4 linked regions of the Saccharomyces cerevisiae S288C genome follow. The gene in region 4 interacts genetically with the main gene of each other region. Each region holds a gene or a part of one and is shown on either strand. Other genes may lie near its edges.

What was found.
Region 1: mutations in IML2 (region 4) and ESS1 impair growth when combined (synthetic growth defect), as found in Saccharomyces cerevisiae (2 studies listed by BioGRID, with this or other methods).
Region 2: mutations in IML2 (region 4) and DIM1 together harm fitness more than expected from each alone (negative genetic interaction), as found in Saccharomyces cerevisiae (2 studies listed by BioGRID).
Region 3: mutations in IML2 (region 4) and ERG10 together harm fitness more than expected from each alone (negative genetic interaction), as found in Saccharomyces cerevisiae (2 studies listed by BioGRID).

Annotation. Positions count from the first base shown.
Region 1 is NC_001142.9:465,737-468,740, reverse strand, and holds ESS1 (peptidylprolyl isomerase ESS1), read left to right. Parts: upstream 1-1,707; coding exon 1,708-2,220; downstream 2,221-3,004. Other genes in the region: REC107 (Rec107p), read left to right, coding at 1-186; TES1 (palmitoyl-CoA hydrolase), read left to right, coding at 460-1,509; dihydroxy-acid dehydratase ILV3, read left to right, coding at 2,533-3,004. UniProt on the Saccharomyces cerevisiae protein: Essential PPIase specific for phosphoserine and phosphothreonine N-terminal to the proline residue.
Region 2 is NC_001148.4:37,010-40,906, forward strand, and holds DIM1 (putative dimethyladenosine transferase), read left to right. Parts: upstream 1-2,111; coding exon 2,112-3,068; downstream 3,069-3,897. Other genes in the region: PLC1 (phosphatidylinositol phospholipase C), read left to right, coding at 1-836; ACM1 (Acm1p), read left to right, coding at 1,160-1,789. UniProt on the Saccharomyces cerevisiae protein: Specifically dimethylates two adjacent adenosines in the loop of a conserved hairpin near the 3'-end of 18S rRNA in the 40S particle.
Region 3 is NC_001148.4:496,276-500,006, forward strand, and holds ERG10 (acetyl-CoA C-acetyltransferase), read left to right. Parts: upstream 1-1,820; coding exon 1,821-3,017; downstream 3,018-3,731. Other genes in the region: ATP-dependent RNA helicase SUV3, read left to right, coding at 1-1,444; SMA1 (Sma1p), read left to right, coding at 3,390-3,731. UniProt on the Saccharomyces cerevisiae protein: Acetyl-CoA acetyltransferase; part of the first module of ergosterol biosynthesis pathway that includes the early steps of the pathway, conserved across all eukaryotes, and which results in the formation of mevalonate from acetyl-coenzyme A (acetyl-CoA).
Region 4 is NC_001142.9:279,428-284,116, reverse strand, and holds IML2 (Iml2p), read right to left. Parts: upstream 2,933-4,689; coding exon 737-2,932; downstream 1-736. Other genes in the region: ARP4 (Arp4p), read left to right, coding at 1-315; TAX4 (Tax4p), read right to left, coding at 3,462-4,689. UniProt on the Saccharomyces cerevisiae protein: Inclusion body (IB) resident protein that interacts strongly with lipid droplet (LD) proteins.

The sequences.
Region 1 (3,004 bases), 190 kb from region 4:
CCGCCACCAAGAATGATGGTCACAAGGTCCATGAAACGCAGAAGATCCAGCTCCCCAACCCTATCCACCAGCCAAAACCACAATAGCGAAGACAATGATGACGCTAGCCATCGGCTGAAGCGTGCGGCCAGGACCATTATTCCCTGGGAGGAACTAAGACCCGACACTCTGGAATCTGAGCTGTGAAACGGGCGTCCTGCTTTTTCATTCTACACAGGCATATGTAACAGCAGTGTATAGGCTATGTAAATCGGCCCAATCAACAAACAAGCGTTGCTTATTGGACTTGCTACTACCCCAACAAAGGAGAGAGCCTTTGATTGCATCCTCGGAAGAGACGGCATAAACACCGAGCCTCATCCTACAATGAAAAACCACGCCAGTTGGATATAAACCAGAAAAGGGTTTCAATTCAGTATCCACCATGAGCAAGACAAGATAAGACAAGATTGCATAAAAATGAGTGCTTCCAAAATGGCCATGTCCAACCTAGAGAAAATATTGGAACTGGTTCCTCTTTCGCCTACCAGTTTTGTCACAAAGTATCTGCCTGCCGCGCCCGTAGGGTCTAAGGGCACTTTTGGTGGAACGCTGGTATCACAATCGCTGCTGGCGTCATTGCATACTGTGCCATTGAACTTCTTCCCCACATCGCTACATTCGTATTTCATCAAGGGTGGTGATCCGCGGACCAAGATCACGTACCATGTGCAGAATCTGAGAAACGGTAGAAATTTCATCCATAAGCAGGTTAGTGCTTATCAGCACGACAAGTTGATATTTACGTCGATGATCTTATTTGCCGTGCAACGGTCCAAGGAGCACGACTCCTTGCAGCACTGGGAGACGATTCCAGGCCTGCAAGGTAAGCAGCCAGACCCTCATCGTTATGAAGAGGCCACTTCGCTTTTCCAGAAAGAAGTTCTGGACCCACAGAAATTGAGCAGGTATGCCTCATTGTCCGACAGGTTCCAAGACGCAACCTCGATGAGCAAGTATGTGGATGCGTTTCAATACGGAGTCATGGAGTACCAATTCCCCAAGGACATGTTCTACTCGGCAAGACACACCGACGAGCTGGATTATTTCGTCAAAGTGAGACCTCCCATCACTACCGTGGAGCACGCGGGCGACGAGTCTTCTTTACACAAGCATCATCCGTACAGGATCCCGAAGAGCATTACTCCTGAGAACGACGCTCGCTACAACTACGTGGCCTTTGCGTATCTGTCCGATTCCTACCTCCTACTCACGATCCCGTACTTCCACAACCTGCCTTTGTACTGCCACAGTTTCAGTGTCTCGCTCGACCACACGATTTACTTTCACCAGTTGCCTCATGTGAACAATTGGATCTATCTTAAGATTTCGAATCCCAGGTCCCACTGGGACAAGCACCTCGTACAGGGCAAGTATTTCGACACACAGTCGGGACGCATCATGGCAAGCGTCTCTCAGGAGGGCTACGTTGTCTACGGGTCAGAACGAGACATTCGAGCCAAGTTCTGAGGACAATTCCCTCCCACGTATAAACACATACATATATATTCTTATATTATATAATAATATCCTATTTATTATTACATCACCTTTCACGAGCGGGTATCATACCTTTTTCCCTTCGATCTAAGTAGAAAAAGGACCTGAATGATCATTGTGGTACTTATTCCCACGCATAACCGACTACGGCACCACAACGACGCACCAATGCCATCTGACGTAGCATCGAGGACCGGGCTGCCAACCCCGTGGACCGTCAGGTATAGTAAGTCCAAGAAAAGAGAGTATTTTTTCAATCCAGAGACGAAGCACTCGCAATGGGAGGAGCCTGAGGGCACCAACAAGGACCAGCTACACAAGCACTTAAGAGACCATCCAGTGCGTGTAAGATGCCTGCACATTCTCATCAAGCACAAGGATTCAAGAAGACCCGCATCGCATAGATCCGAGAACATTACGATATCCAAGCAAGACGCTACGGACGAACTGAAAACCTTAATCACGAGGTTGGATGACGACTCTAAGACGAACTCCTTCGAGGCCCTGGCTAAAGAGAGATCAGATTGCTCTTCATACAAGCGAGGCGGCGACCTCGGCTGGTTCGGGAGAGGCGAGATGCAGCCTAGCTTTGAAGACGCTGCCTTCCAGCTCAAGGTCGGCGAGGTAAGCGATATCGTTGAATCAGGAAGCGGTGTTCATGTGATCAAGCGGGTAGGTTAGGTTGGCATTTGCTTCTCCACCTCACCTTTTTATGTTCTTATTCCCTCTTGTATCCATTCCGTCCTCGCTGAACCCATGAAAAGAAAAAAAATTAACTAGTCACATAGTTAAATGGCGCTGTTCTTCGCTGCGAGCGGAACCGGGCCTGAAAAAAAATTTTCTCTTTTCCTCTCCAGATGACTCAGTAATATAGTAGTATATTATATAATGTAACAAAAGAAGAGACTGAAGTTTTATTATGCATTGTAGCGCCTGTAATCTTTAGTAACGGATTCTTGTATTTTTTTGTAAACAGCCAAGAAAAAAGTAGAGATGGGCTTGTTAACGAAAGTTGCTACATCTAGACAATTCTCTACAACGAGATGCGTTGCAAAGAAGCTCAACAAGTACTCGTATATCATCACTGAACCTAAGGGCCAAGGTGCGTCCCAGGCCATGCTTTATGCCACCGGTTTCAAGAAGGAAGATTTCAAGAAGCCTCAAGTCGGGGTTGGTTCCTGTTGGTGGTCCGGTAACCCATGTAACATGCATCTATTGGACTTGAATAACAGATGTTCTCAATCCATTGAAAAAGCGGGTTTGAAAGCTATGCAGTTCAACACCATCGGTGTTTCAGACGGTATCTCTATGGGTACTAAAGGTATGAGATACTCGTTACAAAGTAGAGAAATCATTGCAGACTCCTTTGAAACCATCATGATGGCACAACACTACGATGCTAACATCGCCATCCCATCATGTGACAAAAACATGCCCGGTGTCATGATGGCCATGGGTAGACATA
Region 2 (3,897 bases), on a different chromosome or scaffold from region 4:
GAATACATGGCATCAAGTTCAGGAATTTCTCTTTACCAGAGTCCAAAACGATAGCGCATTGTTTTTCACTGAATGAGCGCAAAGTAGAATACATGATAAAAGACAAACACTTAAAATTATCGTTGGATAAACATAATAGAAGATATTTGATGAGAGTCTATCCTCACGTTTTACGATACAAATCATCAAATTTTAACCCAATACCTTTTTGGAAGGCCGGTGTACAAATGGTGGCTACGAATTGGCAAACTAATGATATTGGACAGCAACTTAATCTGGCAATGTTTCAAATATTAGATCACCAACCTGATGGAAGTTTTAAATCAGGATACGTGCTAAAACCAAAAAAGTTGCTACCTGTAGTAACAAAGGCGAAAATGATTCCATTAATTTACGAACATTTTGAAAATGGTAGTGATCCTGTTACTGTTAAAATTCGAATTTTATCTACACAGTTATTGCCCAGATTGAATGATACATCGCCAAGCAGAAATAACACCAATTCCTTTGTTAAAGTGGAGTTTCATACCGATGACGAGCCGACAATGCCCATCTCAATCGATAAGGGTACAAGGATTTCTGCCACTGAAGCATCCACTAAGAGTTCTCAAGGGAATGGATTCAACCCAATATGGGATGCTGAAGTTTCTATCACATTGAAAGATACAGACCTCACATTTATAAAATTCATGGTTATCTCTGAAGAGACCCAGATTGCATCTGTTTGCCTTAAGCTGAACTATTTGAGGATGGGATATCGTCACATTCCGTTGTTTAACATGGAGGGGGAACAATACATATTTTGCACTTTATTTATTCATACACAAATTTTATAGGCGATCTTTTTCCGGCCAAATACACATATTCATAAATACGTACATATACCTACTTGCATATACCAACATGATTACCTAGAATGGATATATCAAATGGGACGACGAAGTACCACGACAATACACAATAACAACTTCTGTTTTTCGCTGATTGCCTTCTCTTCAGCAGAAAGTTGATGCATATTTCGCGTAGCGCGTTGACGCGTCTTCTTTCTGAAGTTTTGTGCTTTTGTTATCATACTATATAAAGTAAAAAGAAAGGAGAACATATTAAGCATTACTGAATTAGGATCCTTTGGAAGAAATAAAGTAAGAGACACTGAAAGATGATATCACCATCAAAAAAGAGAACCATTTTATCAAGCAAGAATATAAACCAAAAACCACGAGCAGTGGTAAAAGGCAATGAACTTCGTTCACCATCAAAGAGAAGGTCACAAATAGACACAGACTATGCACTAAGGCGAAGTCCAATAAAGACAATCCAAATTTCTAAAGCTGCACAATTTATGCTGTATGAGGAAACGGCTGAAGAAAGAAACATAGCTGTCCACAGACATAATGAAATATACAATAATAACAATTCTGTGAGCAATGAGAATAATCCTTCCCAAGTAAAAGAAAACCTTTCACCCGCTAAAATTTGCCCTTATGAAAGAGCATTTTTAAGGGAAGGAGGAAGAATTGCATTGAAGGACTTAAGTGTTGACGAATTCAAAGGTTACATACAGGATCCTCTCACCGATGAGACTATACCACTGACGTTGCCACTGGGTGATAAAAAAATCAGCCTACCCAGTTTTATAACGCCGCCAAGAAATTCGAAGATATCTATTTTCTTCACTAGTAAACACCAAGGACAGAACCCAGAGACAAAGATATCCCGTTCTACCGATGACGTCAGTGAAAAAAAAGTAGTGAGAAAACTGTCCTTCCACGTCTATGAAGATGAGTAAATAATGTACACAGTTAGCGTCTAATAATTAATTAACGATACCAATTTAATTCATTCACGTATTCCTCACCTCGTGTGTAAATTACTAACAGAGTAGTAATAATAATAAGAATCAATAATAATAATAAATCCATCCTTGTGTATTACCCGGGTTAGAGGGTAGAAAAATTTTTGAAAATCGCGATGAGCTGAAAATTGAAAATATTTGGTTATAACATAAGATCGATAAATTAGGAACAGTGCATTATACAGTGGACTCATTCGGTTAGAAGCTTTAGACGTCGTACCTTTTATATCGATACAAATAAAAATAAAATTATACCATGGGAAAGGCTGCGAAAAAGAAGTACTCCGGAGCAACTTCGTCCAAACAAGTCTCTGCCGAGAAACATTTGAGTTCAGTATTTAAATTCAACACAGATCTAGGTCAGCATATTTTGAAAAATCCTTTGGTGGCGCAAGGTATTGTTGATAAGGCACAGATTAGACCCTCAGATGTTGTTTTGGAGGTTGGTCCTGGTACAGGTAACCTAACTGTAAGGATCCTCGAACAAGCAAAAAACGTAGTGGCAGTAGAAATGGATCCCAGAATGGCTGCAGAATTAACTAAGAGGGTACGTGGCACACCTGTGGAGAAAAAGTTAGAAATCATGCTTGGAGATTTTATGAAGACTGAATTACCATACTTTGATATCTGTATTAGTAACACTCCTTACCAGATCTCATCGCCTCTGGTTTTCAAATTAATTAACCAACCAAGACCACCAAGAGTATCTATTCTTATGTTTCAAAGAGAGTTTGCTTTAAGATTACTGGCAAGACCAGGTGACTCATTATACTGTAGATTATCCGCCAATGTACAAATGTGGGCTAATGTTACACACATCATGAAAGTGGGTAAGAATAACTTCAGACCGCCACCACAAGTGGAATCCAGCGTTGTTAGACTAGAGATTAAAAATCCAAGACCGCAAGTGGATTACAACGAATGGGATGGTTTGTTGAGAATCGTCTTTGTGAGGAAAAACAGAACGATTTCAGCTGGCTTCAAATCGACCACCGTGATGGACATTCTGGAGAAGAATTATAAGACATTTTTGGCGATGAACAACGAAATGGTGGATGATACAAAGGGTTCTATGCACGATGTCGTCAAGGAAAAGATTGACACAGTTCTGAAGGAGACCGACTTAGGCGACAAAAGAGCGGGTAAATGTGATCAAAATGATTTCCTAAGGCTATTATATGCTTTTCACCAGGTTGGTATCCATTTTTCATGAGCTCTCTTATCAATTATGTAAGTGCTTGTATACTATTTACCTAAGATAAGAAAAAAAAAAGCAATTCAAAATTAAGCTTATCTTGACAGCGGGGCTGGTTTGTTTCTAGAAGACAAAAAGTGGGGAATCATTTTTACGTAACTCCCCCTGATAAGAAGGACTCACATCCTTATAGGTACGATAAAGAATGGTTGTATCTTTCCTATTTTTCGAAATCGTTATCTTATATAGTTGAACTACTACGGTTAAAAAGCTTAAGCCTCAGCCCTCTTAGTCAAACTTCTTTTTTGAAGGCACCAGGGTGCATAAAAGTGCGTCTATTGTTTCCCAGTGGAACTCTGTTGAGATAGCGATGTTTGTTTTTTTTTCACTTAACGGCAACCAATACCGATAGCGACGTCGCTGGCAGTGTAGAGTGGCCGTACGGCGTCGCTAGATGGCACGGCACTGATTGCGGCGGGAGTCGCTAGGCGGTGATGCATTTCCGCACAGGGACCAGAGGAAGCTTCCCAGGCGGTGACAGTAAGTGAACTCATTATCATGTCTTCTCCAAAACATTCGTGACATCTAGTCATGCTCCTCGCAATTCACTCCGATTGGTATAGCTTTTTCGGTAGTTTTAGCTACTATGCTTAGGGGAAAGAGGAGAAACCGTACCGTCAGTCTCAGTCAAAAAATTTTGATATTCAATCTGATAGCAAAGTTGGAACTTGGGGTTATCTGGCCCTTTTTTGTTATCATATTCGTATACCCAACAACATATCGGTTCCACCGGTCCTTTTTATATATAAAAGACGATGTGTAGATGCACTCGAGTATTCTTGGAGAA
Region 3 (3,731 bases), on a different chromosome or scaffold from region 4:
CCGTGGGTACTACGCAGGGCCGTTAAGACTGCTAGCAAGGGAAGTGTACGATAGATTTCATGCAGAAAAGATAAGATGCAATTTACTGACTGGAGAGGAAGTTATTCGTGATTTGGATGATAGAGGAAATTCAGCAGGGCTGACATCAGGCACAGTAGAAATGGTGCCAATAAATCAAAAATTTGACGTTGTTGTTCTTGATGAAATTCAAATGATGTCTGATGGGGATCGTGGCTGGGCTTGGACGAACGCGCTTTTAGGTGTCGTTTCCAAGGAGGTCCATCTTTGTGGTGAAAAGAGTGTTCTACCTTTGGTTAAGAGCATTGTTAAAATGACTGGCGATAAATTAACGATTAATGAATATGAGAGGTTAGGAAAGTTAAGTGTTGAAGAAAAACCTATCAAAGATGGCATCAAAGGTTTGCGCAAAGGAGATTGCGTCGTTGCGTTTTCAAAGAAGAAAATATTGGATCTCAAGCTAAAGATAGAGAAAGACACCAATTTGAAAGTTGCTGTAATTTATGGCTCTTTGCCGCCTGAAACACGTGTTCAACAAGCCGCCCTATTCAACAATGGAGAGTATGACATAATGGTAGCATCAGACGCTATTGGTATGGGTTTAAACCTGTCTATTGACAGAGTTGTATTCACGACAAATATGAAATATAATGGTGAAGAACTAATGGAAATGACTTCTTCTCAAATCAAACAAATAGGTGGTCGTGCGGGAAGGTTCAAATCTAGATCTGCCTCCGGGGGTGTTCCTCAGGGTTTTATCACCAGTTTCGAATCAAAAGTTTTGAAAAGTGTAAGAAAAGCTATTGAAGCACCTGTGGAGTATTTAAAAACTGCGGTTACATGGCCTACAGATGAAATATGTGCTCAACTAATGACACAATTCCCACCAGGAACGCCGACCAGTGTCCTGCTGCAGACTATTTCAGATGAGCTAGAGAAAAGTTCTGACAACCTGTTCACGTTATCTGATTTAAAGAGCAAACTGAAAGTTATTGGCTTATTCGAGCACATGGAAGATATCCCATTTTTCGACAAGCTGAAACTAAGCAATGCGCCCGTGAAGGACATGCCTATGGTCACAAAGGCGTTCACCAAATTTTGCGAAACAATAGCAAAAAGGCATACAAGAGGCCTACTGTCATACCGATTACCTTTTAACCTACTGGACTACAATTGCATACCGAATGAGAGTTATTCATTAGAGGTTTATGAGTCATTGTACAACATCATTACTCTATACTTCTGGCTCAGCAACAGGTACCCAAACTACTTCATTGACATGGAATCTGCTAAAGATTTGAAGTATTTCTGTGAGATGATTATTTTCGAGAAACTTGATCGATTAAAGAAGAATCCTTACGCACATAAGCCCTTTGGTTCTACAAGAGGTCACCTCTCATCTTCGAGAAGAAGATTGCGTACATAATCTACGATATATCCTGTAAATAGAAACAGCTACACTGCTTGAAAGCCTTAACATGATACATTTCTGGTATGATGCCATTGTTGTGCCCTGCCGGGTTTATCGTTTCCTAACAGGCACGTCACTTATAACGAGGTGCCTGTCGTTTACCGCCCAAGCCGGTTTTTTCGCTGGAGAGTACGGTACTACTAGCCCACCACACGTTCGTGGCCAGGTTGATAGGCCACCGTTGAGCAAAGGGCAGTAAAATATATAAAAGAGGAACAAGCGCTTCCATTAAGAGCACTGCTAAGCCTACTCGTTTTCTAGTTCTCTGAAAAAAGGTAGCCTAAAACAAGCGCCATATCATATATATTTATACAGATTAGACGTACTCAAAATGTCTCAGAACGTTTACATTGTATCGACTGCCAGAACCCCAATTGGTTCATTCCAGGGTTCTCTATCCTCCAAGACAGCAGTGGAATTGGGTGCTGTTGCTTTAAAAGGCGCCTTGGCTAAGGTTCCAGAATTGGATGCATCCAAGGATTTTGACGAAATTATTTTTGGTAACGTTCTTTCTGCCAATTTGGGCCAAGCTCCGGCCAGACAAGTTGCTTTGGCTGCCGGTTTGAGTAATCATATCGTTGCAAGCACAGTTAACAAGGTCTGTGCATCCGCTATGAAGGCAATCATTTTGGGTGCTCAATCCATCAAATGTGGTAATGCTGATGTTGTCGTAGCTGGTGGTTGTGAATCTATGACTAACGCACCATACTACATGCCAGCAGCCCGTGCGGGTGCCAAATTTGGCCAAACTGTTCTTGTTGATGGTGTCGAAAGAGATGGGTTGAACGATGCGTACGATGGTCTAGCCATGGGTGTACACGCAGAAAAGTGTGCCCGTGATTGGGATATTACTAGAGAACAACAAGACAATTTTGCCATCGAATCCTACCAAAAATCTCAAAAATCTCAAAAGGAAGGTAAATTCGACAATGAAATTGTACCTGTTACCATTAAGGGATTTAGAGGTAAGCCTGATACTCAAGTCACGAAGGACGAGGAACCTGCTAGATTACACGTTGAAAAATTGAGATCTGCAAGGACTGTTTTCCAAAAAGAAAACGGTACTGTTACTGCCGCTAACGCTTCTCCAATCAACGATGGTGCTGCAGCCGTCATCTTGGTTTCCGAAAAAGTTTTGAAGGAAAAGAATTTGAAGCCTTTGGCTATTATCAAAGGTTGGGGTGAGGCCGCTCATCAACCAGCTGATTTTACATGGGCTCCATCTCTTGCAGTTCCAAAGGCTTTGAAACATGCTGGCATCGAAGACATCAATTCTGTTGATTACTTTGAATTCAATGAAGCCTTTTCGGTTGTCGGTTTGGTGAACACTAAGATTTTGAAGCTAGACCCATCTAAGGTTAATGTATATGGTGGTGCTGTTGCTCTAGGTCACCCATTGGGTTGTTCTGGTGCTAGAGTGGTTGTTACACTGCTATCCATCTTACAGCAAGAAGGAGGTAAGATCGGTGTTGCCGCCATTTGTAATGGTGGTGGTGGTGCTTCCTCTATTGTCATTGAAAAGATATGATTACGTTCTGCGATTTTCTCATGATCTTTTTCATAAAATACATAAATATATAAATGGCTTTATGTATAACAGGCATAATTTAAAGTTTTATTTGCGATTCATCGTTTTTCAGGTACTCAAACGCTGAGGTGTGCCTTTTGACTTACTTTTCCGCCTTGGCAAGCTGGCCGGGTGATACTTGCACAAGTTCCACTAATTACTGACATTTGTGGTATTAACTCGTTTGACTGCTCTACAATTGTAGGATGTTAATCAATGTCTTGGCTGCCTTCATTCTCTTCAGGCTCTATTAATTTTAACCGTTATAAGTTCCTTTTCTCCCTTGGAAGCAAACATCAACTGCCTTAAAATCTGGTGGCGAGGAAAGAGGAAATGGCATGTACTAATGATGGTCCTAATAAATATCCCGAAATTGTGAGTGTTAAGCACCTGTTCCAACATTCGGGATCCAAGCATGAATTTAGTGCTGGTAAACGATTTTCAAAATCCATTGGTAAAATATTCAAACGAAACTCTGCTTTGAAAACTTCTAGAACTGAAACGGCAAATCATAAAATGGAATTGAAAAAAAGAGAGGGTGTTACCTTATTGCCACCTGTCCCAGAATCATTATTACATAAACTCAATTCTTGGTTGGAAACTTTTTCTTCCACCAAGAACATGAAAATCGAAGAAAACAAAATTGTTATTAATGAAAAAGAGATTCGGGATTCA
Region 4 (4,689 bases):
GCGGATCTTGTTTATTCGTCTATAATGAGCAGTGATGTGGATCTAAGAGCGACACTAGCTCATAATGTTGTCCTTACAGGCGGTACATCCTCTATTCCTGGATTAAGTGATAGGTTAATGACAGAACTAAACAAAATACTACCATCCCTTAAATTTAGAATATTAACAACAGGGCACACTATCGAAAGGCAATACCAGTCATGGCTTGGCGGTAGTATACTTACAAGTCTGGGAACATTTCACCAACTGTGGGTTGGGAAAAAGGAATACGAAGAGGTGGGCGTCGAAAGATTGCTTAACGATAGGTTTAGATAGGAATAGAAAACGTTGTTGAATGACAAGTCGCCTTTCAGTTTAGCAGTTTGAGCGACCATTCATCTACTCGATCAATATCTCAGTGATAAATAAATTGTCTTGATTCTACTATAACCCTTTTGTAAAATAAAAAAAATTTCTACGATGGACCGGTTTTGTTTCCTAGGGAGTAATGAACTTGGCCTATAACTAAGAAGGAGGTTCAAAAATTTAAATATGTTCATTTTTAAAATCATAACACTATATATATCGACACCGTAGAACTAACTACTCGGGAAACCCATTGCGTAAAAATATAAAAAAACTATGAAACGTCACGAAAAAATGATGGTTGTAATAACTGCTAGCAAGGGAAGGTAAGTAGTCGAAAGAAAAAAAAAAATGCATACTTCTAAAATGTTGGGGCGGAAGAAGCAAAAGGTTAAGCAAGCGCGTTTTCAACTCTATCAAGGGCGGCTTTGATCTTCATACCGATACGCGTACTCAATTCGTAATCGGCGGCATAATTTTGGGCTCTTAGCAGCCATTCCCTACATTCATTCAAACTTTCCATGCCACCCAGTTTCCAACAGAATAAAGCTCTCTCATAAAGAGCGGCTGGATATGCCCATGGGTCTTCGGTTTTTTTGAAATATTTGACTTTGCCATTTTGAATGTAGAATATTTTTGGCAGAACAATGTCATCTAACAAGGCTAAACCTCTTTCAGCATCCCCCAATCTTCTTAAGGTCAAGGATAGTAGTAAGTTTCTGATCAGCTCTTGATCTGGGTCTTCCGAATCAATGGCGGGGTTGTGATACTCTGTCAACATCTTTTTGGTCAAAATTAAATCGTTTTCAGTCATCCTGTTGTAACCGTTGTAGAAATAAGCCAGTTCATGGACAGGTGATGTTGCTATTGAGTCTAGTGGTTCTTGTAGGTTTAATTTCTTCTGCATATTATTAAATTGTTGAACTTTTCTAAGCATGAATCTATCCAATGGAAGATTTTTGGATTTGAACGTTTTCTTACCTAACAAAGATGGAGCGTCAAATATGAGTTCTCGAGCCCGCTCTTTATAGAATTGTTCTTTACCGTCATTTAATAAGCCTAATTGTGTCATCCTCCAATTTTCCAAGTAACAGCAACCCGCAAAATAAGTGTACAATGCGTGAGACCAATCACTAATATCAAGCAAACTTATTAAATCATCGGCAGCTCTGTTGTATTCGTGTAAGTTGACTAAAAGGATCGCACGTTCAAACACCATCAACGATTTCACTTGTCTCATACGGATACTATTGACATCAATAGAGTCCATTAGGGCCAGAGAATCACGAAGCCTGCCCTTTCCAGCAAGCATTTTGGCCTCATTTAGCAGCCACAGGGCACTATTAGGAAAAAGTGCTCTTGCTTTTAGTAATGCGTCCTCCAGAATTTTTCCAGGATGCAATAAGGTTGCACTGTCCATATAACCTGGTAAAAGGCTACTATCGTTTGTTCTGCTTTTGTTTAAAGCCCTCGATCCATTATCGTTTGGTGGTATATCAAAGTCAGCATCTGTAAATTGGAAAGGACCGTCGTAATAAAACATCAGACCTAACAAACCTATACACCCGTGAACATTTCTCTCCTTTGTAGCCTTCCAAACTAGCCTCAAACCTTCTTCACGGGATCCCTTGAATCCAACAATAGATAGCACAGCACCGATTGCAGGTGGAAGTAAGGATAAGACGACTTGCAAGATACCATAGCATAAATTAGCACCTGAATGGATGAATTCGTCGATGGTAGCCTGTTCTAAATCGAAATCATCTGAAACAGAATGGCGGTCGGAAGCTTGAGACGGAGTCGTCTGTAAACCCAAATCATCCCTTAACCTATGAAAAGATGGAGTATTGCCAATATGGGCACCTGATAACCTTCCCATTCTCATCGTGTAGATTTTTTCAGCAAATTCCAATAGGAGTGGATTGGACTTGTCCTCGGAAGACAATTTGTATGGTATATCAACCGATATGAAAGTTGTCTCTGCAGAAACAAAACTTCCGCATGACTCTTGGCTCTTTTCGCTTGGAGAGGGAGAGCTCGAATTTTTCGATCGTTCAGCTTTTTTGACAGTAACCATGATATCTTGTAACATTGTATAAGCCCTCCTTAACTTTAGCAAAGCCTTGGCTGCTTCCATCATGCTTTCACTAAATAACATCAACAAGGCATGCAACAGACATGACTCAGTATATGTTACAGCATAGACAGTACCGGGAGGATATATTGAACTGCTCCTAAAATTGGTCTTTTCAGCATTTTGCTTACTTTTCCAGGACATTTGCTCAGCTTTGCCTAAAGTAATTGCAGCTCTTTTCATTTCTTCAGTTTCAAAACTCAAAGTGGCTTGAAGAAATTCAATAACACCTCTTGCCAAAGTCAAGATAGTTTGATCTGAACCAGTTTCCATTTCAGCTTTTTTCAGCAAATTCAACCCTTCATCCGTTCTATCATCAAGGACAAAATCCATTGCCTTTAAGGCGATCTCAAAGTCATTAGCCTGCTTCAGAACCTGTTTTGTCTTTGTTGATTGCTCTTCACCAGAAGATTGATTACCCTTTGATCCAAATGAACCAAATACTCTAAACATCTTCTACTATCTTTCGTTTTGGCGCACTGTTTGCCCTTCCTCCTATTATGTTCTATTTCTTTCTATCAGGTAATTCCTATACCGGTAACAAGACGCTTATATATACAATTCGCTATATATACTGATAGAAATATGCAAAAGGAAGAATGAGTGAAAAGAGCATTGGAAAATAAATTTAGTAATACAAAGGTGGGGAGAATATGAATTAAATAATCCGAGGGACGAAATTAGAAAATAGCCCAAGATAGGGGGTGGGGGTACCGCTGGAAAGACAAAGACTATAAGCATGAAATGAAAAACGACCATTATGCTCGAGAGATCTGGAGACAAATAAAGCAAAAGGTCCGACGAACAAAATCCGCGGAACGGAAAAACTTCTAAAAGTGAAGGAAAATTGAGAAAAAAAAAAAAAAAGATAATATTTTCATTTCTTTCATTCGTCCTTTCGTTGTATACATAAGGGTCATTGTTAACTCATCGTCATTCATTATTAACACAGGAAGAGAACTTCTGCAAATAATGCCAGGCATCATATTCTGACATTTCTGAGATCGCGTTTGATGTTTTTCAATTCCTGTCGGACTGAAAGCTTTGATGGCTTATCTAGAGGGTTATTAGCGTTGTGATAGTGATCGGAAGTGGCAGGCTTCACGTTAATTGTACCGAGAACATAGCCGTCAACGCTATTCCAAACTCTCTGGTCCAGCTCATTCGTTAGCTTTCGGCCATAGAGACATTGATCAACCAGCCACATGCCCACTATAAACGATTTTCTGTCTAAGGTACCGTCTTTTCTTGTGTCGACCATATTGTATATTTGCACTAGAAGATCCCTGGGTAGGTTTGATCGATACCATATATCTTTTACGACTAAGTTAAGCATCAGGCCGTCTTGCGGTAAATTTAAGGGCTGTAAGTGAGACTCGTCGTCTTCATTCGCGAGAGAGGGCCACCACGGCAGCAAGCGCAAATACGAGTATCTGTTTGATACCCACATAGACTCGTATCTTTTTCTTTCTTGTTCGGTAATAAACCCGAGATCTCTATGAGATTTCCACGGTTTATCTTCATTGAATTTGTGAGAACTTGTATGATGGTGCGTGTGTAAGTGATGAGAATTCGGGTTATGGAGCTGATGGTGATGATGATGGTGATGAGGGAACGGAAGGACAGAGGTACTACTCCCAACTACAGCTGCTGTTGTTTTCAACCCCTTCTTTATCTTAGAGCGACGACTTTTCTTCTTCTTGTCCTTGATTTCCATCACATTAGAATCTTCATCTGTGTCTGAGTCTGATGATACAGACTTTCTGTCGTAGGGAAAAGTTTCATCATTGTCTGTAATTGCGTACTTCCCGCGCCTCATAGTTGTCTTTAACTTTACATTTTGCTGCGTGTTTATGATTGCCCTACCATTCTGCGTTTGGTCCGAATACACACGTGATAAGTTTTCTTGCTGCTGCTCAGGTGATCGTAAAAGCCTGTGCTTGAACCTGGGTTTACTTGTCTTCCTTTGGCTTCGCGGTATTAGGTCGGGTAAAGTGCCTTTATATATTATATTTCCTCCATTGAGTTTATTCATTGCCGTATAGTCTGACTCTTGCTGCCGCTGTGAGGGGTCCGTTAGAGAAGCCTTTGCTGAGGCTTTGGACGCAAGACTATAAGAAGACATGGAAGGTTCAGGAGGAAATGCCTCATCGGTGCTTTTTTCTCTATAAGAAGTTTCTTCTCCATCGGAACTTATGGAACACGATGAT